Linked DNA regions of Lonchura striata. The protein of the gene in region 1 purifies or fractionates together with the protein of each later gene. This does not show direct contact. Links are inferred from orthologs where the notes say so. Each region holds a gene or a part of one and is shown on either strand. Other genes may lie near its edges. The genes, in order: SRC, PXN, MET and CDC37.

Region 1 (7,403 bases):
GATAGGCTTTCCAATTTCCCACAGCCGTGCCAGGAGTCCAGTGCTTTGTCCCAGGGATGCCCTGCTTAGACATGCTGGGAGGAGGTGCAAGCTGTTTGCTTGCTCCTACCTCTTCTCTTTCAAGATCTTACAGGCGTTTGCTGGTTGTTTAAATGAGAGGCTGGAGACCAAGTCCTTCAGGTCTCATTAGATAAGAGTTTAGCTCTGTGATGACTTCAAAGGCCGGGCAGGATCCCACACCAGTAACAGGGAGAGACAGATGGGATTTTGAAGACGTGAGAGTCCCATGGTCCATCCCCTGCTTGCCTCAGTGAGTCCAGTGAAATGATGCTGGTTTGCAGGACCTGCCCGTGCTGCTAAAGGCCAACCTTGTCTCAGGATAGCTGATGTCCCCTCCATGCCACCAAGACAGAAGAGGACCCTCTTGTCTTTGCAGCAGAGCCACCACACTGGTTGGTCACCGCAGCGTTCTCCTCGTCTCATCCCCTGCTCCCCAGCCAGGGGCTGGGATGGCCCTTTCTGCCTCCCCTCGGAACCTCCCTGATTTTCCATCACTCTGGCACAAAGTCATTAAAGGGCAGAGCTATCATTAGGGCATCTCCATCACACAGGGAGCACTGCAAGGCCACTAACGATCGAGACAGGGAACATTGGACTTCCCTTTGCTGCTGCTGCTGTGTAGCCCATAAATAATCCTGTCTTGGGCTGTTTTGGTGAAGCCAGGAGGTGTTTAGAGGAGCCCCTGCCCTGCTGCTCCCAGGTCAAAGCTTGGAAGTGAGAATTGACCCTCGTCTCCTAAGCAAAGGTGTTCCTTCGTGATATATCAGCATTAACTGGCTAATGATTACAGAGACACAGCACACAAGCCTCGGCTCAGACACCGAGTGCCACGGTTTTGCTCTGGGTGGATCTGGAGCCAGCTGAAGCTGATGGCTTAGCACAGGTAAGCTCTATGGCAAAGGTGTCTAGAGCAGCCCAACAGTAAAAATAACAGAAAGGATATTTCTTTAAAGTGCAATATTGCTGATGTCATCCTCCATATCCCCTTCCTCACACCTTCCTGGGCAGCCCTGTGACTGTCTGACCAACACTTGCTGCACGGGGGACCTGGGCTCACATTGAGCCACTGGATTCTGAGGGGCATCTCCAAGTCTAGCAGGGACAAAAGGATTCCCATCACTAATGGCTGGATCTTGGGAAGGTTCGTCACGACTCGGTTCTTGCACTGGTCATGCTGGCAGTGGGTATCTCCTTGGCTGAGAGGAGAGCAACAAAGACCCCCAGCACCTCCTCCTCTGGGAGCACCAGATGGGCAGGAGAAAGAAAAATCAAGTCTTTTGTTACTGCCTTCATGCAGTTTCATAGAGCACTGCTGGATATGTTCTGTGCTGCACAGGCAGGAGCTCACCTCAGGGAACCCTGTGCTCTGCACCCTCCACTGCCCCCAGCTCCTAATGCCCCTGTCTTGTGGGACACCTGGCTGCATGTCACATCATGTCCCTTCCATTGCGTCACTTCTGGGGAGCCAGAGGATGGGCCATGGCACACACAGGGAAGCACAACCTGCTCCCTGCCACCTACAACCTTTACTGCTGCTCAACATCTCTGGGACTGGGACCAGGACCACAGTCACCTCCTGGCACCAAGTCCAGGGCTGAGCCCTGGCACACCACAGCAGCCACTGGGGTGAGGAAATGCCAGAGGAGAGTGCACTGTGCAGGGCACAGGGAGGTGGAGCAGATCCCCACTCAGTCCAGCAGGTCTCACACGAGACTGCTCTGCTCCCTGACATGATGCCCGACACCAGAGAGGACCATGCCAGGATCAGTGCCACAAGATGCCAGCCCCCTACCACACCTGTCCCCGTGCACATAGCCCTGTGCAGCAGTTCCATCCCTGCAGGTTGCCTCCTGTGTCCATCCCAAGTGGCCCCAGGATGCAGCACAGCCTCTCTGGGCAGTGAGCAGGATAAAACCTCATCCTGACCCCAGTGTGGCTCAGGGCAAAGCCCACGGTGCTCTTCCATGGCACTGGGGGCTGTGACAGTGGGAACACACCACTGCCACCACTTGCAGCCACGCATGGGGGCCGGATTGCCCAGGCTGCAACGAGGAACTTCCCGACTGGATGAAGTCTTAAATCGGAGAAACCAGAGCTCTGCAGCCCCCCAGCAACTGAGCCAGGCGGGCACAGGAGGGGCACAGCGAGGGGCACAGCGAGGGGCACAGGAGGGGCACGACTTGCCAGGTCCACCAGGGCTGGACACTGGCCCCAGAATCACCGGTGAACAAACACAACAAGGGAAGCGGATCACGAGACATCAAAGCAGGGGGGCGATGAATATTTCATGTCCTGGCCTACATACAGCCCAGCTGTCCCCGCCCTGCGCTCCCGGGGGTCCCCCACAGCCCCCGAGCACAACAAAGGGGAGTTGCAGGCAGGCGGGGCCGCCCCGCCGGACCCCCGCGCCCCCAGCTCTGCCCCGCCAGGCAGTGCCACCCCCAGCCGGACCCACGGCTGACCCACCACACCATGTGCATCCCGCTGGACCCACAGCCGCCCCACTGACACCCGGCGCCAGACCGCCAGCATCCTTGCGGGGATCCGCAGGCAGCGTATCCCACGCTGCCGGACCCACAGCTGCCCCACGGCAGCCTGGGCAGGCTCGGCTGGACCCACCGCCTCCTTGCCGAAGTGCCAGCATCCCCGATCGGACCCACAGCCGCGCCACCGCGGGCAATTCCCCGCCGACCCGCCGGACTGCTCTGCGGGCATCCCATTGCGGGCATCGCCCCGCCGCCCCGCCGCTCCCCACTGCGGACATCCACGGGCAGACCCTGGGCATCCCCCGCCGGATCCACGGCCGGACCCAGGCACCCCCCGCCGGACCCCGCCGCCTGCCCCCGAGCTGGGCAGCCCCGCCGCCGCTCACCTCCGCCTGGCCGCGGACGGGGCCGCCCCGCCGCTCGCCTCCAGCGCTCGGCCCCGGCTTTGTCTCCGCGCCGGGGGCGCGGCCGCCGCCCCCCGCCGCCGCCGCCGCCGCCGCCGCCGCGCTCGGTGCCCGCGCCGCCCCGCGCCGGGCCGGGCTCAGCGCTGCGCCGCCGGCAGCAGCATCGCGCAGCGCCGCGGCCCCGGCGCGCTGGTGCCTCGCCCGCCCCCGCTCACCCCGTCTGCGGGGCGGGGGGCAGCACCACGGGGAGGGGAAAATAAAAAAAAAATAAAAAAAATAAAAGAGTAATATGGCAGCAAACCGGAAACGGAGGATGGGGGGAAAGGCAGCAGCAGCCCCTCCCCTCCCTCCGTGGCTTTTTTTTTTTTCCAGGGAGAAGGCTCCGGGCAGCCGGGCTCCGCGGGGCGCGCACGGGCCAGGGGCCGCCCCCGCCGCCGGCGCTGCCGGCGCGTCCCGGCCCGCGGCGGGGGAACCGCCTGGCTGCGCCGGGGACACGCGTGGGAGCGGCGGCCGCGGTCCTCAGGGCGCGTCCCCCCGCGGGTGAGGGGCTGGGGGTGCTCCCACCCGAGCCCAGCGCTGCTCGTCCCGGCGGGCTGGCTCGGCGTGTTACCTGGAAGCAGGAGCTGGTAACACAAAAGTGATTTTCAGGAGGCTGAAACCTCCTGGCTGGGTTGCGGTTCGCTTTATTCAACAGCTCTAACACACGGCGAATTGCAGGGGAAATGCTGTTTTGTCAGGTTGTGTTCCTCCCCATCCCCAGGAGGGACACCTCGGCTTCCCAGAGGGCTGCAACCCACGTTCCCCCTTCTCTGAAGTCGGAAGGAGGCAAAACTTCAGATGGAAAAGCGGGCAAAGATAAACCACGTCCTGGGCCTCCCTGGGAACCCGGGGAACTTTGTGGGGCCCTTTGGAGGCAGCACGGGCACGCAGCGGTGTCTGTGCTCCGCTGGGGCGTCCATGGGTTTAGGGGTTAACATCTCCCAGCCCCGGTCGCCCCTGAAGCCGGTGCCGGATCCAAAACAAGGCAGAACGGAGCTGCGGGTGTTCCTGGGGAGGGCACTCTCCAGCTGGCAGCATCACCCCCTCAGGTGTGTGTGTCCCCGAGTTCCACTCAGGCAGGTGGGCACGCGGGAACAGTTCCACCCGTCGTTCCCCTTGCTCCTCAGCAGCAGGAGGTGGGAAATGCCCAGCTTTGCCCTGTCTCCGGGGTGCACACACGGGCTCAGGGCTCAGCCGGGTGCCCCGATGCCTGCACCCAGCCCGTCGGGGCTGCCCGACCAGCTCAGCGGCGCTGGCAGCCCTCCCACCTCAGCCACCGGCGATCCATTGAAGTGTTCCCTGTCACGTTACCCTCCAGGAAGAAAGGGGGTGAAGCAGTCCACTCCTTAAACCCACATACATTTAGGTCTTTTATGCGGCACGCTCGGCTGCTGGCCGGCTGCAGCGACCCTTGTATTTCCACAGCCAGCACCACCTCTGCCATCCTTGCCCACCCCTCCGACCAACCCTGCAGCCACTCCGCGGGGGTTTTCTGAAAACCCTCCTTCCTCTGAGGAAGATCCGACATTTCAGAAACAAATTGGGAAGTTAAAAACTTTTAAAGAACTATGGTGGTGATGTTTTTTTTTTTTTTAAATTTCTGTTTCCCACTCCCCCTCCGCCTTTTGAGTTATTAAAAAAATATTTCCCATGACACTGGCGAAGGCCAGCGAATCCATGAGTCACCAGGAACAAGGAGTCATGCACGCGCCGATCCATCACCCGTGGCCAGCGCATTGCGAGGGGCCCTTCCCTGGGAGGAGCTGGCGCCGATAAGGTCCCTCCAGCCGGGCAGGAGCCGCTTTCCCTCTCGGCTCCGTCCCAGGGCTGGGCGAGGCCGCCCGGGCTCCCCGGACACCCGTGGCGTGTGTGCTCCGGGGGGGTGGCAGCCCTGCCTGCTCCGTGCCGGAGCATCCCACCGCAGCCCGCTTGGTTCCGGGGCTCGGGGGTGTTAATTCTCAGCCCAGCCCCTCTGCTGTTCAGCTGTGGAGGGGAGGATTCCTCATCCGCTCTGCGATGGATTCACCCCGTGCTGTGGGGCAGTCAGGGAACTGCTCTGCTTGTAACGTGGGGGAAAGAGGGGGTCACCTTCACCCTGCTGCGCCGCACAGGGACACGGGGACACTCCCCTGTCCCTCCCCACGGCAGGAGCACCCACTCCAGCCCGGAGCTCTGCCGGAGGGGAGAGCACCCCGCGGGTGCTCCAGCCCCGGGCGAGCCGGTGAGGATGACTCAGCCTCTGCTGGATCCAGACCCAAATCTAAGATGCAATTGTGACTTATAAATATTTGTATTTTGTTTTTCTCTTTTGCAATCAACTTCTTTTCTCCAGGCTGTCCTCCCAATCGGAGTTCCCATCTCTGGCGGTGCCGGCCCATGGCTGGAAGGCAAACACCCACAGCGCTGTGCCTTTCAACAGCCAGACCAAGTCCACGACACAACCTCTTCTTCTTCCTCTAAGATGATGCCAATGTGAAAATCCAAAATTACAAACAGACACTGTCTAAACCCAGACTCTTATCTTTTGGTCTCAAATGCTGGAATGTGCCCTCACAAGGCTGACATTAAACACGAATTGCTGGTGATAGTGTGATTTAAGACCATTTAAGCAACACAGCTCACCTCAGGACACTCCTGGCTCGGACATGAGGTCTGGAGCCTGATATCCCCTGGCCACCCACTTCCCTTTGCCTCCTGCCTCTCTCCAAATACTTATCTTTAAGCAGTCTAATGCAAATTGATGCTTTTTTCACCCAACCAGGGATTTCAGTCTCTTGTCCGAAACTTATTTTCTTGATATGATTCTTCACTTTTAAATAGCGCTGATAAAACCCACCCCAGAGAGAGGAAGCGGGTTATAGAAACTGAAAACCAGGTACTTTCAATCTGAACAAAAAGTAGCACCAAGTATTTCCAGTGGCTCGATTATTACAGGACGTCTTGAAATGATACTTGAAAAAGAAATTAAGACATGCTCAGGTATTTCTGTGTTTTCTTGCTGACCTTTACACGAGTTTCATCAGCAACAAGAAGAATGAGAGTTACTGTGGGCAGATGCTGTCATGCTCATGAGTAAGTAAGTAAGTACGTGGCTCCTTCCCTTCCAGGTGTGCAGATCAAACTGCTCCACAGGGCTCCTAAAATCCTCCTGTGAGGTAAGAGGGTGCTCGTTGTGTCCAGTATTTGATCTGAGCCCTGAGCTCCCTAACGTAACTGCAGATTTACAACAAAACATCTATTCATCTCCAGCCAGCTTTATTTTTAAGCATCCCCTTGGCACGCGTGAATAAGTTTTGTCTATTGGATTCTGTTCCTGAGGCTGCACTTTGTTCACTGCAAATTGCAAATACAGTTGCAGGAATTATTACTATTAGTAATGTAATGGTTGTGTTTGAGATGCTGGCCTGAGAGAGAGGCAGCCGTGGCTCTTGCCCTGAGATTTTATGATCATTGAGCTTTACAGCCCTGCAAATAGTGGTGTGAGATGGGAAATGATCAGCACCATCAGCCCTGTTAGGGAAGCTGCAGTTTCAAGCTCAGGAGCTGATTTAGTAAGGGGGATTGACCAGAATAACCCTGCAGCACGAGCCATTTGGCAATATTTCATGCTAGAAATGCTCATTTTGGCCATTCTCTCCCACACTGAGCATCAGAGCTGCAGGAGCCGAGCAGCATCTTGCAGGTTATAGGAAAAAGGTTTATCTGAGAAGAAATTACCAGGAGGACTCAGGACCTGTTGTGTCCCCCATCGTGGTGACAATCTGCTATGCAAAAGGGGCCCTTAGCTCCTGTCAGGAAGTGTCATTGCAAAATTCCCTGGGGGAAAGGGCTGCAGGGGAAACCACTGACTCGGTGACATGCAAATATTTAATAAGGAGGCACTGAGTTCAACAGCTGTGGGCTGAAATTATCTGCATGGTCAATAAAGGCACAACATTTCCTGTCAGGTTTATGACTGATAAAATATGCTTTGGTACAATCTGAATTAAGTATCTTGGAAAAGCTCGTTTGGGCAAAAATCTGACTCGTTTTGCTTCTTGCCTCAGCTCAGCATGAAAGCCACACACAAGATGTTGGCATCTCCCAGCATGGAAATTCTGCTTTTTGGCCAGTCTAGTATCCATAGACAAGGGCAATTCAGAAAAACTCAGGGAAGCTCATGCAGACGAGATTTATTGCCCTGCTTCTGGCTTGATTTGGTAGCAGAGCAATAGGGGACAGCTGGTTGGTGCAGAGCTCTGGTAGCCACCTCCAGGAGACCCTGCCCCAGGGCTGGGATGTTCCCTCCCTGCCAGCACCCGGCTGCTTGCTGGCCTGCCTGCAGCCTGAGCAGGCAGAGCAGGAGCAGACACCAGGGTGTTTCCCCTTAATCATCCAGTCTTGGTCCTTGGAGCGAGGGATGGGCGAAGGAGGC
Region 2 (7,435 bases), on another chromosome or scaffold:
TGACTAAAGCAAATTTAAAGTTTCTCTTCTCCTACTCCTGTCACCATAAATACATAACAGTTTACACAAATTAGGTTTCTTCCTCTGCAACAAGCAAATCCTAATGGATCTGTTCCTTCATACTACTTAGACAAGGTAGCACCACCAAACCAGTAACCCAACATCTCAGTGCCTCAGCTTGTCTGAAGCAAGTATGTGTGGATGATCACTTGTGTGCTGGAAGCACAGGCTGTGCTTTGGCAATCCCCTGAAAGGGACAAGAGCCCCAAATCTGGGTTCTCACTCTTTAGGACAAAGCTGTGCCAATTTACAGCACTGCAGGACAGCAAATTCATTCAGCAAACTTCCTGTCAAACTCCAAGCACATCCGCAAAATGTGCTTCCTCAGAGAGGCTGCAGGGAGACGATCTGGACAAGCCTGGCCAGCTGCTCTCCTCCCCCTTCCCACCACGGGCTGTTCTAGTTTACATCCAGCCCAGCACTGTGTGTCCTGTGCCACAGAGGCTCCTCCAGAACAACAGGGTGCACAGCTCCAGCCTGCAGAAAGTTTCCTGTGGGAGCTTCTTCAACACTGGGGGAGGGGGTAAAAAGGGAACAAAGATTTTTCTCAACTCCAAATGAATCCTCAAAGCAAGACAAATCCATTTTCATATGTTTCATAAACTCTCCAGTCCAAGAACAAAACTGAGATACTTCTGGACCTCCATTTTACATTGGACATGTACAGACTGATCAAATCCTCCAGCTCTAGGAAAAAGAAGGAGATTTTTGACAACAGCAAGGAGTTAAGAACAGACACACCAATGGTCTCTGTTAGGGGTTCACTCATGCCCAGCAAGGCCCTTCACTCACTGCTCATTTCTGTGCCACACAGATTCAGAAGCGAGGTATGGAAGTATCTGAGCTGATTTAACTTGACATCAACTCTGCACCTACAAGTCCCAGTTCAATATCAAACTCCTTTTGGGCCAAAACTGTCCCTGGAAGCAGAGCAGCTTTGCCCACATGGCAGTGTGCCTGAACCAACAAGTCCTGCCTAACCAGCTTGACTCTGGACAGGGCCAGTGCAGACGTCTGTATCCATGGCACAGTTAATCCACAACTCAGATAATCCACCCATAGATAATGAGGAAAGAAAAACAAACAACTCTCACTTGAGTTCGAAAGTCTGACTTATTTCAGGGGAGTTGTATCAGCACAGCACAGTTCCATTATGTGTGATCCCAAGGTGAATGACTTTAGAGCAGTAAGTGAGCCATTTTGGGGCTAACAATGATTTGCAGAGGAAAAACAGCTGGTGTGCTTTTCCATGGTGAATTCTGTACACCACAGAAAAGCTTAGAGAGAGAAAAGGTCACACTTTTTTGTTCAGCTGCCTACTGTTAATTAGATCTTGTCCAGTCTGAAAGGCTGCACAAAAATTGAGACAGACGCAGTGTAATTAAGACTTGATGAAATCAAGTTGCTCAGATTAGAAGGTCTAACTTTTGGTTGTCCAAATACTCTTCAGAGCTCAGAAAAACAAACCAGGCACAATTTCAGATCTTTTTCACAATTTCTTAGCAGTTCACCTCTAATTCTCCTACAGATGAAAGAAAAAATGTTAAGGGACTGCAGCAGCCTATTCCAACAGCTGGAAAGTCACACTACCACGTTTAGGAATGCAGCTCTTGCAGTGGGCACAGTGAGGCTCCCATGGTTTACTGATGGTGAGACACTAAACTGGCTCTACACTGACCTGTATGCTCACCTTGAAGGGCTACCCATCAAGTCAATACACAGACTGGGTGAATCCTGTTCTGACTAGCAATGCATTCCTGAACATGCTAGGAACTCGCACCAAATCTCCAAGAGATAACCAGAATGAGGGATATGAGAAAAGGTAAACAGAGCTGTCTCCACTTGAACAATAACCATGAAAAGAAGCTGCAGTAGAAATTACTTCTGTTCCCACCAAGAGCTACTTCACTCAAGCAGAAGGTCTCACTCCCCAAGGATGAATCCTCCATGGGCACACCTTTCACCAGAAAGCCACGCAGCAGATGGACTCCTTACCCTCTAAGTTTTATCATTAGCCCAATTCAAAGTCTATTTTCTGAAGGTGTGACCACCAGCTTTATGCCATCACCGTAGTATGAGCTTCCAGGTCCAGAAATAAACCTGCAATTTTCTTGGGACTATATGTCAACAGAACGTCTGGTTTCTATTAAAGGTAGGATGGAAGTAACGGATCACAGCCCCTCCCCAGTGTCTGATTTAATCGGTTTCATAAGCGGAACTCAGTCGTCCTAATGCCTCCCAGAGCACAAGGGATTTTGGCAGATCCACACCCTTTCCGGCTTGGTCCCAAAGGACTCAAATTCTCTAGATCCTTCCCTTGAGACCAGTTGCCTGACATTTCTCCATTACATGGTTTCGGGAAACCGTATAATGCAGCACACCTGGGAGAAGCAGAGGGAGGACGAGGATGAGCTCCAAGCGCGGCTGGGCTCCGCTTATCCCCGCAGGGCTCCCCACTCCATACCCGCGCAAAGTTCAGATCTCGCCCAAGAACAGGCTGGAGAGGCTGCGGCGGGGCAGGGAGGAGATGTTTGCTGAAACCCGAGTACGCCCCACGCTGCTCCGGGCACAGGAGCGCCGGGCGCCCTTCCCGGCCGGGACAGCCACCGCCTGCCCTGGCTGCGGCGGCCCCGGGACAGCCCAGCCGCGGGGCCCGGGCGCGGGGAGCCGGGCCGGCCGGCGCGCTGCGCGGGGAGCGACACGTCCCCGGACGCCGACAGGCGCGGCCCGAGCCCCGCGGCGCCGAGGGGCGCAGCGTGGCCGGCGGGCCGCGGCCGCCGCCGCCCGGGGCGCGGCGGGGAGGCGGCCCCCGCCGCGGGGGAGCCCGCGCGGCTCGGAACTCACCCAAGTCGTCCATGGTGCCGTCGTGCCCGGTGCCGCCGCTGCCGCCGCGCCGGAGCCGCTCCCGCCCCGCGGTGCCGCCGCCGCCTCAGAGCCCGCAACTTTCCCGGCCCGCCCCCGCGCGCGCCCGCCCGCGCGCCCCCGCTGCGCGCGCTGCGCGCCGCCCCCTGCCGGCCGCCGCGGGAGCCGCCGGCCCGGGCGCGGAGCGGGCGCGGGGTCGGGGCCCCGCGAAGCGCCGGGCGGGGCGGCAGCGCCCGGAGCCGCCGCCCGGCGTGTGCCCCGGAGAGGCCTGCCCCGGAGAGGCCTGCCCCGCTCGCCGGCGGCCCCACGCGCGTCCGAGACTGAGCGCGAACGCCACACGAGCCCCGCGCTGCTCCCTGCAGGAGCAGGACCTTCCCCAGAGGAATGTCCCGGGGCAGCGATGCAGCCGCGCTGGGCTGGCTGGGTGGTGCGGGAGAGTTGTGCCCCAAAACCTTCAAACATTTCAGAGCCTCAGCTGAATTACCCCATCCCAGGGAAGCTGGGCAGCAGAAACCTTTCCTGAGCAATTTTCCATACGCTGTGGCCACCATAAAGGAAAGTCACCAGCTACTTCTCTTTTGCTGTGTTCAAAGACTATAAGAGCCCTCCTGGATTTCTCATGTGGTGACCTTGAACCATCATTTCCCACGTGTTTTTCCTTTCAAGCCTCTATAAAACAACTCCAAGGCAGCAAAGTCCTCGCTTTGTCTGAGCCACAGCACAGCTCAACCCTCACCAGAGCTACTGTTTCCCACAGTGCTCCAGCCAAGTTGACATGGCAGTAAATGCAGTTGCTCAGCCCAAATGTCCACTTCTTAATCTGATGAGAGATACACCAAAAAATATCAGTGTGGGAACTGCCGAGGATCCAGGAAACATGACTCTTGTAGCTCTTTTCCTTACAAAATTACTACCGAGTCAGAGAATGTTCCCAGAACTGAACAGCACATGTCCTGTTGTTGAGCTGAGATTACAGAATTGTATTTCCATTAAACAGAGACCGTGAGGTCAGCTGTGAGCAATCTCCAGTGCTGCATTTTTCACTCTCTAGGTACAAACATGCCCAGTTTCCCCTGCTAGCACAAGTCAGACATCATTATTTCCTGTGTTAAGTCATGCTTTAATGGGAATTATCGTTAGGGGGGCAGGGAAATATCTCCTCCCTCATCCCAGCCAATGCTTATGAATAGTCAAAAACCTCCAAGAAATTAATTCCAGCTTTTACTCCAAATACAGTTGTCAGAAAATAATGTCCTTACTGAGATCTAAGTACAACACAAATGTAAGTAAAGATTTCATTGCATGCTTCACTATCCATGCCAAAGATTTCACCTGACATCCCCCTTGCTGGTCTCCCTCAGCAAAATGTAAAACATTATTTGGAGGGACTGTTAAAATTTTCTCAAAATCCATCACTGGCTATACAATGACAACATCAGGATGTGCATCCCCAGGTGGAGCAACATGAACCACTAGCGCTGACTGGTCACAGAGCAGATGTAAAGTCATTAGAAACGAGTCCTTTCCTGGGGTCTGTATGTTTCCTCCACCAACATGTGACAAGCATGTGCCACAAGTTGGGTTGTATTTTTACCTCTGCATAAATAAAGTGCCTACTGTGCTCTGTTCATATTGTAGCCTGGTATGCCATTTTTATTTTCAGCTTCCTACTGTGTCCTTTGGGAGTCTGAAAGTGAATGTAAATCAAGAAAGCAGTTTCTATTGTGTCTCAGGGCTGGAATTAAGTTGTCACAGAACCAGTTAGGGTTGCTCCCACAAGAAATGGTTGTGTCTAAGATGGTCAGTGTTAAAAAAAAAAAAAAAAAAAAAAAAAAAGTAATTGTTTCTAAAGCTTTGCCTATGGCTTCTGCACTGCACTGAAAGTGTTGGTGGGGTGGGAAGGCAGGGCTGTCCCATGAGTGATACTATCCTCTAGACAGCCTGCTTTTAAAAGCAAGCTGCTCACAGCCAGGTGCTGTTTATAACTGAATTATTCACACATTGATATTTCTTACTTAAAATTGCCAGTCCCTAACCCTCCCATGAGAGCTGGGGGAGCAGGGGCAGGTTAAAACCCCAGCTGCCAAGGCGACTTGTCAGTGTTGTGGGCTCAAGCTCTGTCCTTCCCAAAGCCTTGAACTCCTGTTTCCCCATCATCTACCTGTTCTTTGGCTCAGACTCTCCCTGACTCACGGACACCTGCTTGCTACTAGAAATACACAGGCCTTCTTCTTATGCTGTGCCCCGTAGCTGAGACATTTTGATCTACCCTTGTCTTTCACATAAGGTGTAACAAGAAGTTACCACCCCCATTTGCAGATGGGAAACAGGGCTGGGAACTGGAAATGAAGTTAGACAGTGAGTTAACATCAACAAAATGTTGAACTTTAGGGCTTCCTGTCTCCACACAATCCATGTTCAGAGTATTCCTAACTCCACACAATCTGTGTCCAGAGTACTTGCTCAAGGCATCTTTCCCTCTTGTTGAAGAGTCATTTACCAGTTACAGACCAAGTCCCTCAAAGGGCAGCTTAACCCACTGACCACACACAAGACCCTCAGAGTTGATGGATTAACTGTCCTCCTGGGCCCTGTCATTTCAGACTGGCTGCCAAACAGGAGTGATCCAAGCTCATTTCATAATACCAGCGAAGAAAAGCATTGTTATTTTCAATCTGTGTCAGAGAAGAGAAATAAAGCTACACTGGCCTGTGAGGCATGTTTAGAACTTACCTGTGCACTTTCCAGAGAGTGGCTTGAAACTGCAGAGCAATGACAGTGCCTTCATTGCAGTGTGTGCCCTCTGTGCTGTGCCACATGAACATCATGCAAGGGGATTTTGCTCTTTCTTCAGGTGAATGCAAGGAAAAAATTTTCAATCAGAGCTTTGGGCTTCAGGCAATAGCAGTAAATCACAGCATGCAACTCCCACATTCGAGGTTCAACTTCATGTTTGTTGAAAGGATCTGCTACAGCAAAATGAACAAGCTTGGTTTCTGGCATAAGATGTAGGACGTGACTTTGCAATGCAGATTGAAAGCACCACACCAAGGCATTACCACAGACAATTCTGGCAGCAAAGATGAGAAACAATCAAGTGATAAATCCAATACTTATCAATACAGTTCATAAGAATCAAGAAATTACCTGAAGTGTATGACTCACTGCAAACTACATATGCCTTTGCTATTTACCAGTGTGGCTTATTCTGCCAAAGGGTAATGGCATCCCTGTGCTTCAGAGTTTGATTTCAATTGATATTTCTGGCAATAGGAACAAATGGGGGGGACAAAGGCAATCTGTGAGGTTTCACTGTCACTCTTGGTCACTGTTGTGTATAATACCCCAGCATGACTGAATGTTATTTTAAAAAATAATAGTAATTCTTAAGAGACTGATGTTCACTACTAAGCTTTCTGTTCTACCGAAGTTTCAAGCAGCTGCCCAGCTCAAGGTCTAACCGGCAGGGTAGGAGCATCGGGATGGCACACGTGGATCTGGTTCTGTGCCCATACAGAGAATGTCAGAGGCAAGCTGTCAGCACCAGGAGGTACATCTCACTCACACAGAGTGACGGAGAGCAGCTGCTCCCAGCTGCAGCGGAGCCTCAGCGGGGCCAGTGTGCAGTGGTCATTAGTCTCCCTCCGTAGGGTCTGCCTAGCTATTCAATTGCTGCAAATTAGGAAAGGATGCAGTTTACTTATATAATAGGAGTTGACACCAGCAGCTGCTTTTTCCAGAGCAAAGGTTTGTGATTTTTTTGACAATAAGGAGCATTTTTCTATTGCATTTTTTTTTCTTAAAGCAAGTGATGTCAATAAAGAACTGCACACAAAATGGAGTTTACAGTACTTAGTACACTAAGTGTTCTCTAATGGGTTTTAGAGGACTCCTGCAGTTGGGGAAGCACGATTCAGACTTTCACTCCCCCTAGATTCCTCTCTGCCTGTTGAGAGGCTAATCTCCTAAGGATTCTCCTCAGCAAGAGCTACTCCAGAAATCTTTCTACAACACCTAAGCCACTCCACTTCCGTTTTCACTGACCGATTCCTTTTTCAGTAACTGAGAAAAAAAGAAAGGAGCTTTCAACGTAGGAGCGCCCTCATTTTATTAAACCGCGGTCTTAGCGGCAGCAAGCCCTGGCAGCGCTGAAAGAAGAGAAGCCGTATTACCTTCCGTGAGAGCCCCCTCCCGCCGCCAGGTAAAGACCACGCAGCACAATACAATCACCGGAGCTAGTCTTAGTCTATTTTTCACCAGAGTATTCAGTCTCCGTAGAGACTGTCAAAAATTGCCAATGCCGACTATATTTCAAGTCGTCATGGCGGGGTATTGGGAAAAGTTTTCAATTAGCAATAATCGCGCCTCGGATTAACCTCATTGGCTACGATACTGCCACTGCGCAAAGCTGACCGGGTTTACCCGCCGCTGCCAGCACTCGCCCCGGGGCCACCGCCAGCCTCACGGCGAGTCCCCCCGCTCAGCTCGCTCCCGCCTGCACGCTCCCAGCTGT
Region 3 (7,869 bases), on another chromosome or scaffold:
ATGCTGCTTGAGGCAATGTGGCATGACCACCAGTGGTGCATTGCACAGGTTTAATTACCAAACACAACCTTTGCATAGGAAGCAAAATCACTAACTATGGCCACAGCAGACAAGATGCACAGGTTGATGGTTCATCTGAGGGTAACAGCCTAATGAAACATGAAGTTGTGCCACCAGCTCAAAGGACAGACAGTAAGGTAGCAACAGGAAGGTAGAAATCCTGGACATAAGGTTTTCACATGAACCCACCACAAAGGTGGTGTTGCCACCCAAAATCTTAGCAAGGTGTGTTTGAAGTGTCATGCACTGCATGCATTCCTTCTGCTTTGCACCAAACAGATCCTTGTAACCCACTACTGAATTTTGTGTTTCTGTAGTTTCAGAGAATGCTGTTCAACTACCCTATCCCTTTCTTGTTCAAGAAATGATGTATAGTGCTGAAAGAGCCCAAGCAGGATTTCCCTTACACTAAATATTTCACAAACACAGATGGAGATGGAGGACCTCTCCTTGCTTTCTGCCTGAAGCAAATAAAGTCTAGACACATGCCCACCACAAAGCAATCATGGCACAAAGCAGATCACCCAGTGCTCTGTGACTCCCACCGCTGCAGCTCTGCCTCTCTGGCTACCCCAGCACAGCATGCTGCCGGCATCAGGTTCCCTTTGTGGCTGTGAAGGCAAGACTGCTGCTCTTACACTGCAGCCAGCTGTGCCAGTTATTCTCTCGAGCTCTGGAAGCCAGATTTGGGAGGCAGCAGACTTTGAATCTCTCCTCTGAGTTGAAAAATACAGAGCAGATATTTGCAGATCATAGAAGAATAAGAGTAGGCGGGTTTGATTGCATTGGACAAGCAAGAAGAGGTTACAGGTCATCAGCTGAGGTACTAGAAAACCATTAGAGCAGGAGAATCAGGATGGGACAGGCAGTACTGGGAAGACAATACTTGCTACTTAGTTTTGCTTTCATGAGCTTTTCATTGAACCTCTACTGAATTTTGGCATTCTGGCAGCCTTGCTCTGACTCAGTGAGCTCCCATCCATCTATGGCTGCACTGTCATCTACACTTGAGCAAATAACACATCTATGAACCCCTCTCCAGCCACAATATGTGCACTTTAGCTTACCAATAAAGAACTGCTATGCAGTGGTTAACCTCTGAAGGAAAAAAAAAAAAAAAAAAAAAAAAAAAAAAAAAAAAAAAAAAAAAAGTTGAAAGAAAAAAAGAAAAAGAATAAGAAAAAAGAGGGGAAAAAAAAGAAGAAAACATTGGGGGGAAAAAAAAAAGAGAAAAAAGGAGAAAATCCTTAGAGGAAAATAAAGACAATTCATTCCCTCTCCACCAAAAAGGCACAGAAGTTGACTCTCTCTTCTCCAAATAATGAGATGAATGTTTTACAAAATATCCCAGTTTCCAAATGATTCAGTTTGTATTAGAAGACAGAAAAAGAATCATACAGTGCTGAAGAAGGATTATGGCACAAAGAACAAGCGATACAGTCATTCTGCAAGTTACTTTGTTTTCAACATGCAGCTCCTGCCAAAGGCTAGCTTTTTGCTCTCACAGTGTATGATCTGTAAACATTTAACCAGCTCTCTGAGAAACATGTGAGACCCTTGCTTGATTATGAATCCAAACCTCTCAGATCTAAAATAAAAAGACAACAAAAAAGAGACACCATCCTCTTTTTGCTGCTGGACAATGAAAAAAGCACCTGTGGGATGAAAGCAAATGAACTATCACACAGGGCATAGGTTCTTCGAGAAAAGCATGCACTGCCGCTTGAATAAACCTCCTACAGGTTACAAACGCACAGGTTGTTAAACAACACTGGTATTAGATTATTAATGCCTATTGATGTATGTGCAAAACTTCCAATTTCTAAGGAGTGCATTCAGTTTTATAAAGCCTAAGACCACATAATTTAATGCTGACATAGAAACAGTGGTGGAATGCCATTATATGAGCTCTTTGCGATTTGTTTACCGTTCGAAGCAAATTCTGCTTTTAAAAATTGAATTAAAAAAAAAAAAAAACCAAAAAAAAAAAACCACCAAAAAAAACCAAAAAAACAAAAAAAAACCCAACAAAAACCCTAACAATAACAACAGAAAAGGCCATACCGTAAGGAAAACTGTGAACGCAGCGAAACCATAAAGTACACATCCCCAACTTGGGGAATCCCGCAGGCTCACCCTGCGCCTCGCGGAAGGCGGTCGGACCGGCCACCACAAACGCGGAGCCACCGTCTCCAAGTTGGAACTTCCAGGCTGCACTGCCGGACACTGCCCCGCGGCGCGCTCCTGCCGCGCCCGCAGAGCGGGAAGGGGCGGGAGGGGCAGCGGCTCGGGCTGCGGCCAAGGGGCGCTGCCGGCAGCATCCCGGGGAGCGCTGCCCGCCCTGCCCTACCCCGTCTCGGCTTCGCGGGTACGCGGGCGCCGGCGCCCTGCGGAGCCCGGCCGGGGCCGGGGCCGGCCGGCAGCCCCGCACCGCTGTCACCTGGCCCCGCCGCGCCCGGCCCGCCCCGGCAGAGCAGCGGCGGCTGCCGCGCTCCCGCGAAGTTCCCGGGCGGGGCACGGCCAGCACCGAGCCGCTGCCCGCCCTCCTCCTTCCCCGGCTCATCTCGCTCCCCGCGTCCCCCCACGGGTGCCGGTCCTTACCGGAGCGGAGCGGGCTGCGCGCCGGCACGCCGCCGGAGGGGCGAGCGCTGCGCCCCGGCAGGCTGGGCTGGGCTGGGCTGGGCTGGCTCCGCGGTCCCGGCCCGGCCCGGCCCGGCTCGGGCGGGGCGGAGCGGGGCGCAGCCCGGCGCACCTCCGCGGCCCCGCGCCGCTCCGCCGCTCCCTCCGCCCCGCGGGCTCAGGCTGCCCCCGGCCCAGCCCCAGCCCCAGCCCCGCGCTGCTGTCCCTACCTGGGGCGGCAGGGGCTGCGCGCCCCGGCGGGCACGGGCGTCCCTCCTCCCGCACGGCACCTGGGCTGCGGGGCGGCTCTCCGCGCCCTTCCCTCAGGCGCCTCCGCCGCGCTGGTGGCGGCTCCCAGCGGTAAATCAGCCGGTCCCCGCGCTCCCTCCGCCCCTCCGGCGCGGTCCTGACCTGCCTGTGACTCACCACATCGCAGGAGCCCGGGTGCGCGGTGGGGGGAAGGAGGGAGGGGGGCCTCCTTCTCTCGCTCCCCCTCCCCTCCTTTCTGCCCCTCGTCCCTCCCGGCCAGGCCCCCAGCCCAGGGGTAGGAGGGATGGATGTCGCTCCCCAGATGGGGAAAGCCAGGAGGGGACCCTTGGTGGACCTTCTGCACCTCGGCGTTTTCAGGCCAAGTGAGTACCAGTGGTGTGCAGGCACAGCCTCCCTCCTCACTCCCAGCCGCAGGGCACCCATCATCAGGTGTCAGTGCCTGACTGATGCTAAAGCCTAACCCTGAGAGGTCAAGATATGGGCACCCCTAGGTTTGTCCTGAGACCCCCCCTAGGCTGTGTAGTAGTGAACAAATTTAGCCCATATTGCACTATCATGGTGTCAGTGCTGACTGTGCTTTAAATGTCTATCCACATGTAATTCAAACAAATGACCTCAGTTTATATAGACTATCAAGTAGCTGTCTTCCCCCATATGTGCTTCCTACAGGGTAGTAAACTGCACAGGTTGGGGTTTTTCCCTCACAAGGTTTGCAAAGCAGATGATGACTTCATCTTTCAGAGGTGCTGAGAAACTGAGTCACTCAGCAATACTGCCTGTGCAATGTACACTTGTGGAGCTGCCGAGAGACTGCAAGTCTCAACACTGGGGCATGCAGCAAAGATCCATCTTTTTTTCTGGTAACGAGTTTCAGCAGCTACTGATTTAAACCAGATTTTAAGTGAAAGGCTCCATATTCCAATAGAAGTTACTGGAGACATCTATTTTCCCTTTGCTTGCTTCCTTTTTTGGCCCCAACTCTGCTGCCCTTAATCATACCATTTAAACCGATGAACGTTTTTCATGAGTGAAGTACAAGGAACTGTAAGAAGCACTGCCCAGTTTCATGATTAACCATGGGAAAAATGTCAGATCTTACATCAAAACATTCTGTAAGGAAAATTAAATATTGTATGTATTTGTTTTAGGCCTTGGATGTCACCAGGATGTGTACAAAGCTGTACAACAGAACAAAATGTTTTAAAAAAGCAGTTAGCCACCTTTCTGCTAGTCTTCTGCTAGTCTTTCACAATTTATCTGTCTCCTCTTTCCTTTGGACTTGCCAGCACTAGTGATAAAGACATCAAACCTAGCTATAAGCCAGTTCTGTGCAAAAACAGATGCATGATTGAGGGCAGCCTGCCCCCCAGCTTCCCCTTCAGAGGAAGTTGTAACTGCAATGAGGTCTCCCTTCAGTCTCTTCTTCAGACAAAGTGACCTCAGCCACTCCTCATATGGCTTCTCCTCAAGGCCCTTCACCATCTTCATTGCCCTCCTTTGGATGCTCTCTAGGAGCTTTATATTTTCCTTATATTGTGGTGCCCAAAACTGCCCCCAGCACTCAAGGTGAGGCTGCCCCAGTGCAGAGCAGAGCAGGATAATCCCCTCCCTTGCCAGTTAGTGATGCCTGATGCCCTCCAGGACATGGTTAGTCTTTTTGGCTGCCAGGGCACTGCTGACTCAAATTCAGTTTGCCATCAACCAGGAATCCTGGCTCCCTTTCCACAGTGATAGTCTCCAACTTCTTGTTCCCCAGTCTATCCATACATCCAGTGTTGTCCCATTCCAGGTGCTGAATTCGGCACTTGTCTCTGTTAAACTTCATGACTGATGTAATCTCATTTCTTTCAAGTGTCTGGAAATCTGTCAATTTACTTCAATAACCTTTATTTCAATTAATATTCAGCAATAGTTAGGAAAAATAAGACAGTGTGGATGCCCCCCACCCCCGCCCAGGGAAAAGCAAGGCTACAATTAGACTGTGCTGCTTGCTGGGCTTCAATTAGTGATCAGTCAGTCACTGCTGACTGTGCTGTGCACTACTACTGTACGGTGCACCAGTACAGCCACACCAGACTTGGAAGAATCTTCCTTAAGGGTTTTGAAATAAAGTGATAAAGAAAAATATTTAAATCCAGAGCTCATTCTAAGGACAGCCCCTCATATTATCTGTTGTTAGCCTGCTCCTGAGTTCACTGTGCACCTGCCTGGGCTGAGCAGCCAGCGCCCAGGCTGTTATCAGTGGGACAGTCTGTGCTATTCTAAAACTAACAAATGGATTGTCACTAACATAAAAAGGAGAAACAGATGTTTCCTTTCCATTTTGACCATGCTGATGCCATGTTATTTTAGGTTAGTTTTATGAGACAGTTACACTGCACTGAGGCTTTGATAATCATCTGATACTCCTTTCATCATGCTTGCACCATGTGTACACCATGAACAACTTCTCAGAGGCTTGAAGTAGCTTTAAGGTGCAGTTATGGGTGAAAAAGAAACTGACTTTCTTAGTCATCATCCTGGTCTCTTTATAGGTTTTCCTAATCTCTCTTCCCTGTCCAAAAGGAGCTGGTCCTCTTCAGTCTGGCATAAGATGGCGTGACACATTTTAAAAAGCTGACGACACTGGAAAAAACAATTCAAAAGTGTGAAGGAGAGTCTATGAGGGTGATCTGCTCAGTAAGAGAACTGGAACACACTGGGGAGTATATTGGCACATCCTTTCCAGCCCTGATGTGTTTTGAGATAGGAAGCTGGTGAGCAAACCCTATCACATTTCCAAGAATACAGAAATAGAGTTAGAAAATGAATTGCAAGGCTATGTTGAACTTAAACTTTCAAGTGTAAACATGAGGAATGAAAACACAGGATGATTTCTGTACATTGGCAGTAGTGCATCTCAACACACTAATGTGTCCACTTCAGTTTTATGGGTTTCATTGTGACTTCTGTTCAGAACCTGAGAAATTATTTATCATAACTACAAGTAGCAAAATGACGTTTATAGAATTATGTATCCAATTTATACCTAATTTCAGTAAGAAAAAATATATATTTAAATACCTCTGCAAATCTGGATCTAACCACATTTTCTAGAAGTGCAGAATCAAACATAAATCTACTGTGCATTGCTGCAGAACCACACTCTACTACATGGCACCACAGCTATATGGTAGCATCAGAGGATTTACTCTTTGTCCTCTGCTGCAGTCATTCACACCTTTGGGAGCAAATATAAAATGCAAATGTCATTGTGAAGCTCCAGAGACTTCTGACTTAGTGGAGCTTACTCATGAGTAAATGATTTCAGAAGGAGCAAGACAGCGGAAAGGAATTAATTTAATGCTTAAGAACACACAAGACAAAGATCTCTAGAGCTGAGCTTCACAGCGGTGGATATCAGGTACCTTCCTGTTGCAGAACCCTGCAACAGGGACTCAGAATAGCTGAGTCTGAGTATCTCTGGAGGTTGATAAACAAAATAAGAGCCTTAGGTGAACCCACCCAGCTCAACTGCCTGACATACCAGTGATCCAAGGGGAAAATTATAGTGTGACAGACTGCTGGGGTAATGTGTAGCTGTATTTCCTGTAGACCCTTATTCACTGGAAGGCAGCCTGGCTGCAAATGCCAGGGGCAGCTCAGGGAAGGGGCTGTGCCTGAGGCACATTTTCCTGTGACTACTTTGTCCCTTCAAGTCACTCTGACACAATCTGTCTTTCACTGTCTTTCCTGGGCTCAAAAAGCACACAGTGGGAAGGGACACAGTGTTGACTGGGGGTTGGGCTTTGGAGAAAAAATGCCCATGGTGTTGTTTGCCTCTCTGGAAACTGAGCTAAATATCACAATTACTACTTAGATCTCTAGATTCCAAAGATTTGATCATCACTGCATTTTATGGCATTTATTGTCTAGCCATTTATTAACTAAACCCATAGCTTCTGATAACTAAATAAGTACTTTCTGTTTGTTTGTAAGAGGGTCAACAATGTCACTGGAAGAAATTTCAGCCTGTGACTGGTGGTTGCAAAAGTCCCTTGCAAAGCCAGGAATAGAAGCCTGCAGTTAGAAGTTCTAATCTCTAACCACTAAGCTACCCTAGACAGTTCTCCATTTGTATAGAAACACAGATCATAACCGAGGGTGCTTCCACATATTGCACTGTGGATTATAGGTGACTTTTGAGCAAAGGGAAGTTTTTCTGTTTAACTTGATAAAATTTTCCTCCTTGTTTGTCTTTCTGCTTGTAAAAAAACACCACAACTGGGCCATTCTAAAATCCAAATGGTGAATGCTTCAAGTATAATTCTTGAAAATGGAGGAAAATGTTTATGGGGCTATTGCATCTGAAGTCTGGATTGCCATGGCTCTGTGTCCTTTTTGTGCCAGTCCCAAAGCCTTGGTGATCACATGGGAAACTGGTACATGAAGTTCGGGAATCCAGCAAAAATTAATCAGTCAAAAGAACATAGATTAGTTTACAGATAGATTAGCTCTTCAAATCCATCTGCTATGCAGTAATGTGAGTGCTAGTGCTGCAAAAGGACAAGGTCAGAAATCCAGGAGGAGGGTGGGCTCATGGCAGCACAACATTACATCAGCTTAACTGGAGGGAGCACCTCAGCCTCCAGAAGGCAGAGGAAGAGATGGTGTGATTCTCACTGCTCCCCACCTGAACCTTGCCTTCTTTCCTAGTGATTTTGAAATGCATTAAACCCCTGAATGAGTACCTCTGAACATACAAACCCAAGAAATCATTTCAGGCATGGAAAGCTGAACAGTCTTTGTGTTCATGTCCCTGAAAATGATGGAAGTGCAGTAGCCCTTGGTGCATTCACTGAGCTCACACTGCAGCAGCAAAGGCTTTCCAGAACATGCTGTAGAGAACTTTTCTAGCATAGCTCAGCATAAACTGCGTCA
Region 4 (7,113 bases), on another chromosome or scaffold:
CGGCCTCAGGGAGGGATTTTGGGAAAAGGAAAGAATTTGAGGCTACACCTGTGGAAATTGGGGTGCACACGGCCTCAGGGAGGGATTTTGGGGAGTCCAGGGGGGATTTTTACCTTAATTTTGGTGAAAAACTGCCGGAAGCAAGCCCTGGGATCCACCTTGAGGCTCTTGGCCAGCTCCAGGATGAACTGCATGACGATGGTCTGGTGGGCCACCTGCTCCATCAGCGCGTGTTTCTGGGGGGAAAACGGGGTCAAAATCCCCCCAAGATCTCCCAAAATCCCCATTCCCCACTCGGCCAAACCCCTTTTTGGGTGAGGAGGAGGCGATTTGGGTCAGGGAATCCCAAGTTGGATTGAGGATGAGACTGGGTTAGGTTCGATGCTCTTTAGGAGCTGTTTGATCCCAAATTAATCCCAAATTCCCTGATTTTGTGGGCTCCTCATCCCAGAAAAACCCTGGAGCTGCAGGAGAGGTGTCAACCTCTCTCCCAAGGAAAGGTGGGTGCTTCTACAGGATGATTTTAAGGATCTTTTCCCACCTCTCCTGCCTTGTAAGTCCTCAATCCTCTCGGGTTTTTTTTGGCAGGAAAAACGGGAAGAAATCCGGAGAGATGAGAACAAGGCAGCTCCAGCTTGCAAAAGTTGGGGATTTTAGGATTTTTACCCCAATTTCAGCCTGACTGCTCACCTCCTCCACCTCCAGGTCGATGCACCAGATGACCAGGTAGTTGGCTGTCTCCTCGCACACCAGGTGAGGGTTGTCCGACAGGTACTTCTGGCTGTCGTCCCAGCGCCTCAGCATCCCTGCCACCGGGAACCAGGAGAATTCCCCCTCCTCAGCCGGGGAACAAACCCCAAACTCCGCCTGGATGAGGCTGGCCAGGAGGGCGAGCACCTCATCGTGAAATTTAACCCAATTCCCCCCAAACTGTGCTTCAGCGGGGGGAAAAAAATGGGAAAAAGCACACAAAATCCTCAATTTTTCAGCGCAGCGAGAGGATTCTGGGTTGGTCCCACCACGGGGGGTGTTCCCAAGCTTGGAGAACCCCAAAAAGCGTCCCCCAGCTCCCTAAAGCCCCCCAAACCCCCTCACCAAAGTGTTTAATCTGCTTCTCGTATCGCTCCACGAAGGTTTTGTGTTTCTTCTCCTTCTGCTCCTCCGTCTCCTCCTTCTCCTCGGCCTTCACGTTGAAAACACTCTGGGAATGCCAAGGAAGGCAGGGAATGACTTGGGGGATTTAGGACACGCTGGGGGTGCTTTTTTTGGGGGGTTTTCTCCCCAAAAAACCCGCACCTTGCTGAAGCCATCCTTGCTGAGCGTGTCCACGTTCCAGGGCATGTTCTTCTCCTTCTTCCTCAGCTCCTCCAGCTTGTTCTCCCAACTTTTCTCCTCGTTCCTCAGCTGCTGGGCCTCGGCCTGGAGCTTCTCCAGCTCCCCTTTCCCACTCTCCGGCTCGGCGACTTCCAGCTCCTTCAGCTTCCTCTGGCACTCGGCCAGCTTGCGCTTGCACTCGCGGCAGCCTTTATCCAGCTCCTCCTTCTCCTTCTGGAACTGCTCCATGCGCTCCACGCGGGCCTGGGGCGGCAGGGAAGGAGCTGGGGCGCCTCGCTCCCGGGTTTTGGGGGGGTTTTGGGGGGTTCAGGAGGGGCTGAACCCCCAAATCCACCCCAGGGAGCTGCAGCTTTTCCGTAGGGAATTGGGGAGGATCTGGAATTCTGGCGATTCCCACGGCCCAAAGCTGGGTGTGAGCCCTCGGAGGGGTCGCTGCCCCATCCTGGGACACGCAGGGGGATTTTGGGGGGCTGGGACCCCCCCCTCACCCTGAGGTGATTCCCGAGGGAAGGAGCAGCCCCTGGGCACGGCAGGGATGGAGCGGGAGATGCCGGGGGCAGCGGGAACCGGGAATGGGATGGGGAATGGGGAATGGAATGGGATGGGGAGTGGGATGGGATGGGGCACTGGGAATGGGGAACCGGGAATGGGATGGGGCACTGGGAATGGGGAACGGGCTGGGATGGGACATCGGGAATGGGGAATGGGATGGGATGGGGAGTGGGATGGGATGGGGCACCGGGAACGGGAAACAGGGAATGGGATGGGGCACTGGGAATGGGGAACCGGGAATGGGATGGGATGGGGAATGGGGGAATGGGATGGGATGGGGAGTGGGATGGGATGGGGCACCGGGAACGGGAAACAGGGAATGGGATGGGGCACTGGGAATGGGGAACCGGGAATGGGATGGGGCACTGGGAATGGGGAACGGGCTGGGATGGGACATCGGGAATGGGGAATGGGATGGGGCACCAGGAATAGGAACCGGGCCGTGCCGGGATGGGGAACGGGAACTGGGCCGTGCTGGGATAGAGAACCGGGAACGGGCTGGGATGGGATGAGGCACCGGGAACGGGAACCGGGCCGTGCCGGGATGGGGAACGGGAACCGGGCCGTGCTGGGATAGAGAACCGGGAACGGGCTGGGATGGGATGAGGCACCGGGAACGGGAACCGGGCCGGGATGGGGAACGGGAACCGGGCCGTGCTGGGATGGCGGAGCTCCCCGCGGGGGCTCCAGGGATGATCCCACGGGAATGCGGGGAGCCCCCGCCCCACGGGAGCCCCTGGAGCTGGAAAAGAACAACACCCCCCCCCATTCCCCGTCCTGCGGGAACACGGAGAGCCCCCCACACCCCCGGGCTCCCACGAACAACAGATCCCCAGCCCGTGCCTCCCCCGTCCCTCCGGGAATCCCGGGAATTCCGGTCGCCATGGGAACCGGGCCTCCCTGGGCGCGCCAGGCCCGGGGCTTGGGGGCAGAGCGCCGCGGGCCGGGCCGAGCCGCACCTGGTGGCGCCATCGGAAGAGACTGGCGGTGTCGATGTTGGGGTGAGTCTCGTCCTCGTCGTCCGAGACCTCGATGTGGTCCCACACGCTGTAATCCACCATGGCGCGGCCGCCGCCACCTTCCCTCCGGCCCCCGCCCGCTTCCGCCCGCGCCTGACGCACTTCCGGCGCCGCGCCCGGCCTCGCTCGCCGCCCGCGCCAAGCCGCGCCCTCTTCAAAGATGGCGGCGGATTTAAAGAGACACGAGCACACCCCCCCACACACACACACACAGGCATGCGCCATGGTTTTTACCTGCGGGTGTAAAGGAGTCAATAGAATGAATAAAGTCTTTCAAACTATTTTAAGGGTTTAAGTTGAAGGAAAATCCTGATTTGAAAAGGTTTAGTTAACTAGGAACCCCTACTTTCTATTATTTTAGGATTTAGTTGACGATAAATCCTATTTATTAATTCCTTAAATACTTAAATTGAGGAGGGATCTGTGCTTTCCATCGTTTTTAAGCGTTTAAATTGAAAGAAAATCCTGCCTCTTCAGTGATTTGAAGAGGTTTAGTTAACTAGGAATCCCTACTTTCTATTATTTTAGGGATTTAGTTGAGGATGAACCCAAATTTTTAATTACTCAAATAGTTAAATTGAGGAAGAATCTGTGTTTTTCATCGTTTTTAAGGGTTTAAATTGAAGGAAAAGCCTTCCTCTTCCATGATTTGATGAGGTTTAATTGACTGGGAATGACTACTTTCTATTATATAGGGATTTAGCTGAGGATAAATCCAAATTTTTAATTCCATAAATAGTTAAATTGAAGAGGAATCTCTGTTTTCCATCGTTTTTAAGGGTTTAAATTGAAAGGAGATTATTTATGGGACGTTTTAAGAGTTCCATCAACAGGGCCCCTCGATTTTAAGGGATTTTACAGGGAAAATGGTGTCAAAAAGCCCCAAAACTTGTGTTTCTTGAAGGAAAACCAGTAAAGGGAGGAGGAGGCCTCTTGTGGGGTTAAATTGAGTAGGAATTCCATTAAAAATTTAAATTGAGGCAGGATCCAACATTTTAAGGGTTTAAATTGAGGGAAACTCCACCCTTTTCACCATTTTTATGTCTTATTTTGGGAGGAGACCCCCTTTATCCACCATTTTAGGGGTCTAAACATAGAGGGAATGCCTTTTTCCATTTTTGAGGTTTAAACTGAGGGAGCAAAACCTTTTTTTCATTGGTTAAAAGGGTTTAATTAGAGGGGTTACTTAGGAGGGGAAAAAGGGGAGAACAGGAGGGGAAAAGGGCAGGAAATGTGAGGGGAAAACGTGGGAAATGTGAGGGGGAAAAGGCAGGAAATGAGAGGGGAAATGTGAGGGGAAAAGGTGAGAAAGGTGAGGGGGAAAGGTGAGAAAGATGAGGGGAAAATGGGTGGAAAATGTGAGGGGGAAAAGGACGGGAAATGTGAGGGGTAAAGGTGAGAAATGTGAGGGGGAAAGGTGGGAAATGTGAGGGGGGAAAAGGGCAGGAAACATGAGGGGAAAAAATGCAGGAAAGGTGAGGGGAAAATGGGTGGGAAATGTGATGGGAAAGGAGAAGGAAATATGAGGGGAAGAAGGTAGGAAATGTGAGGGGAAATGTGAGGGGAAAAGGGCAGGAAAGATGAGGGGGAAAAGAGAGGGAAACATGAGGGGGAAAGGGTGGGAAACATGAGGAGAAAAAAAGGCAGGAAATGTGAGGGGGAAATGTGAGAAATGTGAGGGGAAAATAGGCAGGAAATGAAAGGGGAAAATGGGTGGAAAATGTGAGGGGAAAAGGTGGGAAATGTGAGGGGGGAAAGGTGGGAAATGTGAGGGGGAAAGAGAGGGAAATATGAGGGGGAAAAAGGTGGGAAATGTGAGGGGAAAGGGTGGGAAATGTGAAGGGGGAAAGAGTGGGAAACGTGAGGAGAAAAAAGGCAGAAAATGTGAGGGGGAAAAAAGACAGGAAATGTGAGGGGGAAAGGTGAGAAATGCGAGGGGAAAAAGGTGGGAAATGTGAGGGGGGAAAAGGGCAGGAAACTTGAGGGGAAAAAATGCAGGAAAGGTGAGAGGAAAATGGGTGGGAAATGTGATGGGAAAGGAGAAGGAAATGTGAGGGGGAAAAGGGCAGGAGAGGTGAGGGGAAAATAGGGAAATGTGAGGGGAAAAGAGAGGGAAATGTGAGGGAAAAGGGAGGGAAACGTGAAGGGAAAATGGCAGAAAATGTGAGGGGAGAAAGGTGGGAAATGTGAGGGGGAAAGGTGAGAAATGTGGGGGTGGAAAGGGCAGGAAAGGTGAGAGGAAAAGAGAGGGAAATGTGAGGGGGGAAAAGGTGGGAAATGTGAGGGGGAAAAGGATAGGAAACGTGAGGAGAAAAAAAGCAGGAAAGGTGAGGGGAAAATGGGTGGGAAATGTGATGGGAAAGGAGAAGGAAATGTGAGGGGAAGAAGGTAGGAAATGTGAGGGGAAAAGGGCAGAAAATGTGAGGGGGGAAAAGGGCAGGAAACTTGAGGGGAAAAAATGCAGGAAAGGTGAGAGGAAAATGGGTGGGAAATGTGATGGGAAAGGAGAAGGAAATGTGAGGGGGAAAAGGGCAGGAGAGGTGAGGGGAAAATAGGGAAATGTGAGGGGAAAAGAGAGGGAAATGTGAGGGAAAAGGGAGGGAAACGTGAAGGGAAAATGGCAGAAAATGTGAGGGGAGAAAGGTGGGAAATGTGAGGGGGAAAGGTGAGAAATGTGGGGGTGGAAAGGGCAGGAAAGGTGAGAGGAAAAGAGAGGGAAATGTGAGGGGGGAAAAGGTGGGAAATGTGAGGGGGAAAAGGATAGGAAACATGAGGAGAAAAAAAGCAGGAAAGGTGAGGGGAAAATGGGTGGGAAATGTGATGGGAAAGGAGAAGGAAATGTGAGGGGAAGAAGGTAGGAAATGTGAGGGGAAAAGGGCAGAAAATGTGAGGGGAAAAGGGCGGGAAATGTGAGGGTGGAAAGAGAGGGAAATGTGAGGGGAAAAGGGCAGGAAATATGAGGGGAAAAGAGCTGGAAGCGTGAGGGAAATGGCCGAGAGTCCCTCAGCCATCCAGTCCCGGACGGACGCACCCTCCCTGCAAAAATCACGTACAAATTCTGCCTTTTAAATTTTTTAATTGATTTTTTTTTTTCCCATGAAAAATACAAAGAGTCGAGTCCAGGGGTGGGGGCCGGGGGGGTCCCGGTCCCCTCCGAGGGGTCCCGCAGTGCCACCAGGGTGGGCACCTTTTGTCCCCACGTTGGGCCCCCCAAAAATGGGCCGGGGCTGAGGTGGGGACCCCTTATTGCTACTGAACTGGGGGTCCCCTGGCCCCCTCCCCAAATTCCAGGGCTGGATCCCTGGGAGAGGGGGTGGGGGTCAGAGTTTGGGGGGGTGGGGGGTGTGATGGCGGATCTGGACACGGGGGTCGCTCCTAAATATTTATATTAATAATAATTAAAACTACAAGAAGCTTCACACAGGCACGACACAAAAAAACCAGGAGCTGGGATGGGATTGGGGGAGGGGTCTGGGGGGAAAAAAGAGGGTCCCGGGGAGTACCAGGATCAGGGGAAAAAACAGGGAAGAATAGGAAATAAATGGGAAATAAACCACTGAAAAGTGAGAAATTATCCCGACAGCGAAGGGAAAATAAATAAGAATCGCAATAATAATAATAATAACATCAATAATAATTAATAAGAATAATAATTAAGAATAATTAAGAATAATAATGACGATAAAGGAGTATGGGGGAACTCAGGGTCGGGGCTTTTGAGGTGGGGTTCCGCCCTTTTTTTGGACAGGAGGCTCCAAGTGGCCAAACTCCAGAAAGTGGAGTAATTTGGGGCAAAAATTGCCCATTTTGGAGAATTTGGGAAGGGAGAGGGGGGAAGTGTGACAAGACACATCCTCTCCCTCCCAGATTTGGGGGTACCAGAGGAATCCCTGGAATTTCAGTGCCACTGACCCCCCAGAACTTGCCTTGATCCCTCTTGGGGTTCACAAGCTGCTTCCAAGGAACTCGGGGAGCACAAAACAGGTTCTCACCCTCTCTGGAACGGCGATTTGGGGGATTTTGGGGGATATTTTTAATATTCTGCTATAAAAATAGATGGATTTGGGTCAGCGGCTCCCGAGGAGTCGCCGCTCCCTGCGTCAGTCACGCTCCTCCTTACCTGATAACGGGTAACAGGTCTAATTAAACACGTGGTAAATCCTTATTTTTTGTTCTTTCTCCCCAAAAATTCCTCCCCCTCCCCCAG

The links.
Region 2: the proteins of SRC (region 1) and PXN purify together in Homo sapiens (co-immunoprecipitation; 4 studies listed by BioGRID and IntAct, with this or other methods). This does not show direct contact. The link is inferred for Lonchura striata from reciprocal best matches to the Homo sapiens genes SRC and PXN.
Region 3: the proteins of SRC (region 1) and MET purify together in Homo sapiens (co-immunoprecipitation; 4 studies listed by BioGRID and IntAct, with this or other methods). This does not show direct contact. The link is inferred for Lonchura striata from reciprocal best matches to the Homo sapiens genes SRC and MET.
Region 4: the proteins of SRC (region 1) and CDC37 purify together in Homo sapiens (affinity purification with mass spectrometry; 3 studies listed by BioGRID and IntAct, with this or other methods). This does not show direct contact. The link is inferred for Lonchura striata from reciprocal best matches to the Homo sapiens genes SRC and CDC37.

What each region holds. Positions count from the first base shown.
Region 1 is NC_134619.1:9,505,581-9,512,983, forward strand, and holds the start of SRC (proto-oncogene tyrosine-protein kinase Src), read right to left. Parts: upstream 3,010-7,403; 5' UTR 2,933-3,009; intron 1-2,932. UniProt on the Homo sapiens protein: Non-receptor protein tyrosine kinase which is activated following engagement of many different classes of cellular receptors including immune response receptors, integrins and other adhesion receptors, receptor protein tyrosine kinases, G protein-coupled receptors as well as cytokine receptors.
Region 2 is NC_134620.1:4,910,725-4,918,159, reverse strand, and holds the start of PXN (paxillin), read right to left. Parts: upstream 3,016-7,435; 5' UTR 2,918-3,015; coding exon 2,905-2,917; intron 1-2,904. UniProt on the Homo sapiens protein: Cytoskeletal protein involved in actin-membrane attachment at sites of cell adhesion to the extracellular matrix (focal adhesion). Recruits other proteins such as TRIM15 to focal adhesion.
Region 3 is NC_134607.1:34,614,241-34,622,109, forward strand, and holds the start of MET (hepatocyte growth factor receptor), read right to left. Parts: upstream 3,012-7,869; 5' UTR 2,910-3,011; intron 2,732-2,909; exon of another isoform or gene 2,662-2,731; intron 2,327-2,661; exon of another isoform or gene 2,125-2,326; intron 1-2,124. UniProt on the Homo sapiens protein: Receptor tyrosine kinase that transduces signals from the extracellular matrix into the cytoplasm by binding to hepatocyte growth factor/HGF ligand. Regulates many physiological processes including proliferation, scattering, morphogenesis and survival.
Region 4 is NC_134623.1:1,357,871-1,364,983, reverse strand, and holds the start of CDC37 (hsp90 co-chaperone Cdc37), read right to left. Parts: upstream 3,017-7,113; 5' UTR 2,949-3,016; coding exon 2,847-2,948; intron 1,579-2,846; coding exon 1,297-1,578; intron 1,202-1,296; coding exon 1,096-1,201; intron 807-1,095; coding exon 691-806; intron 237-690; coding exon 114-236; intron 1-113. UniProt on the Homo sapiens protein: Co-chaperone that binds to numerous kinases and promotes their interaction with the Hsp90 complex, resulting in stabilization and promotion of their activity. Inhibits HSP90AA1 ATPase activity.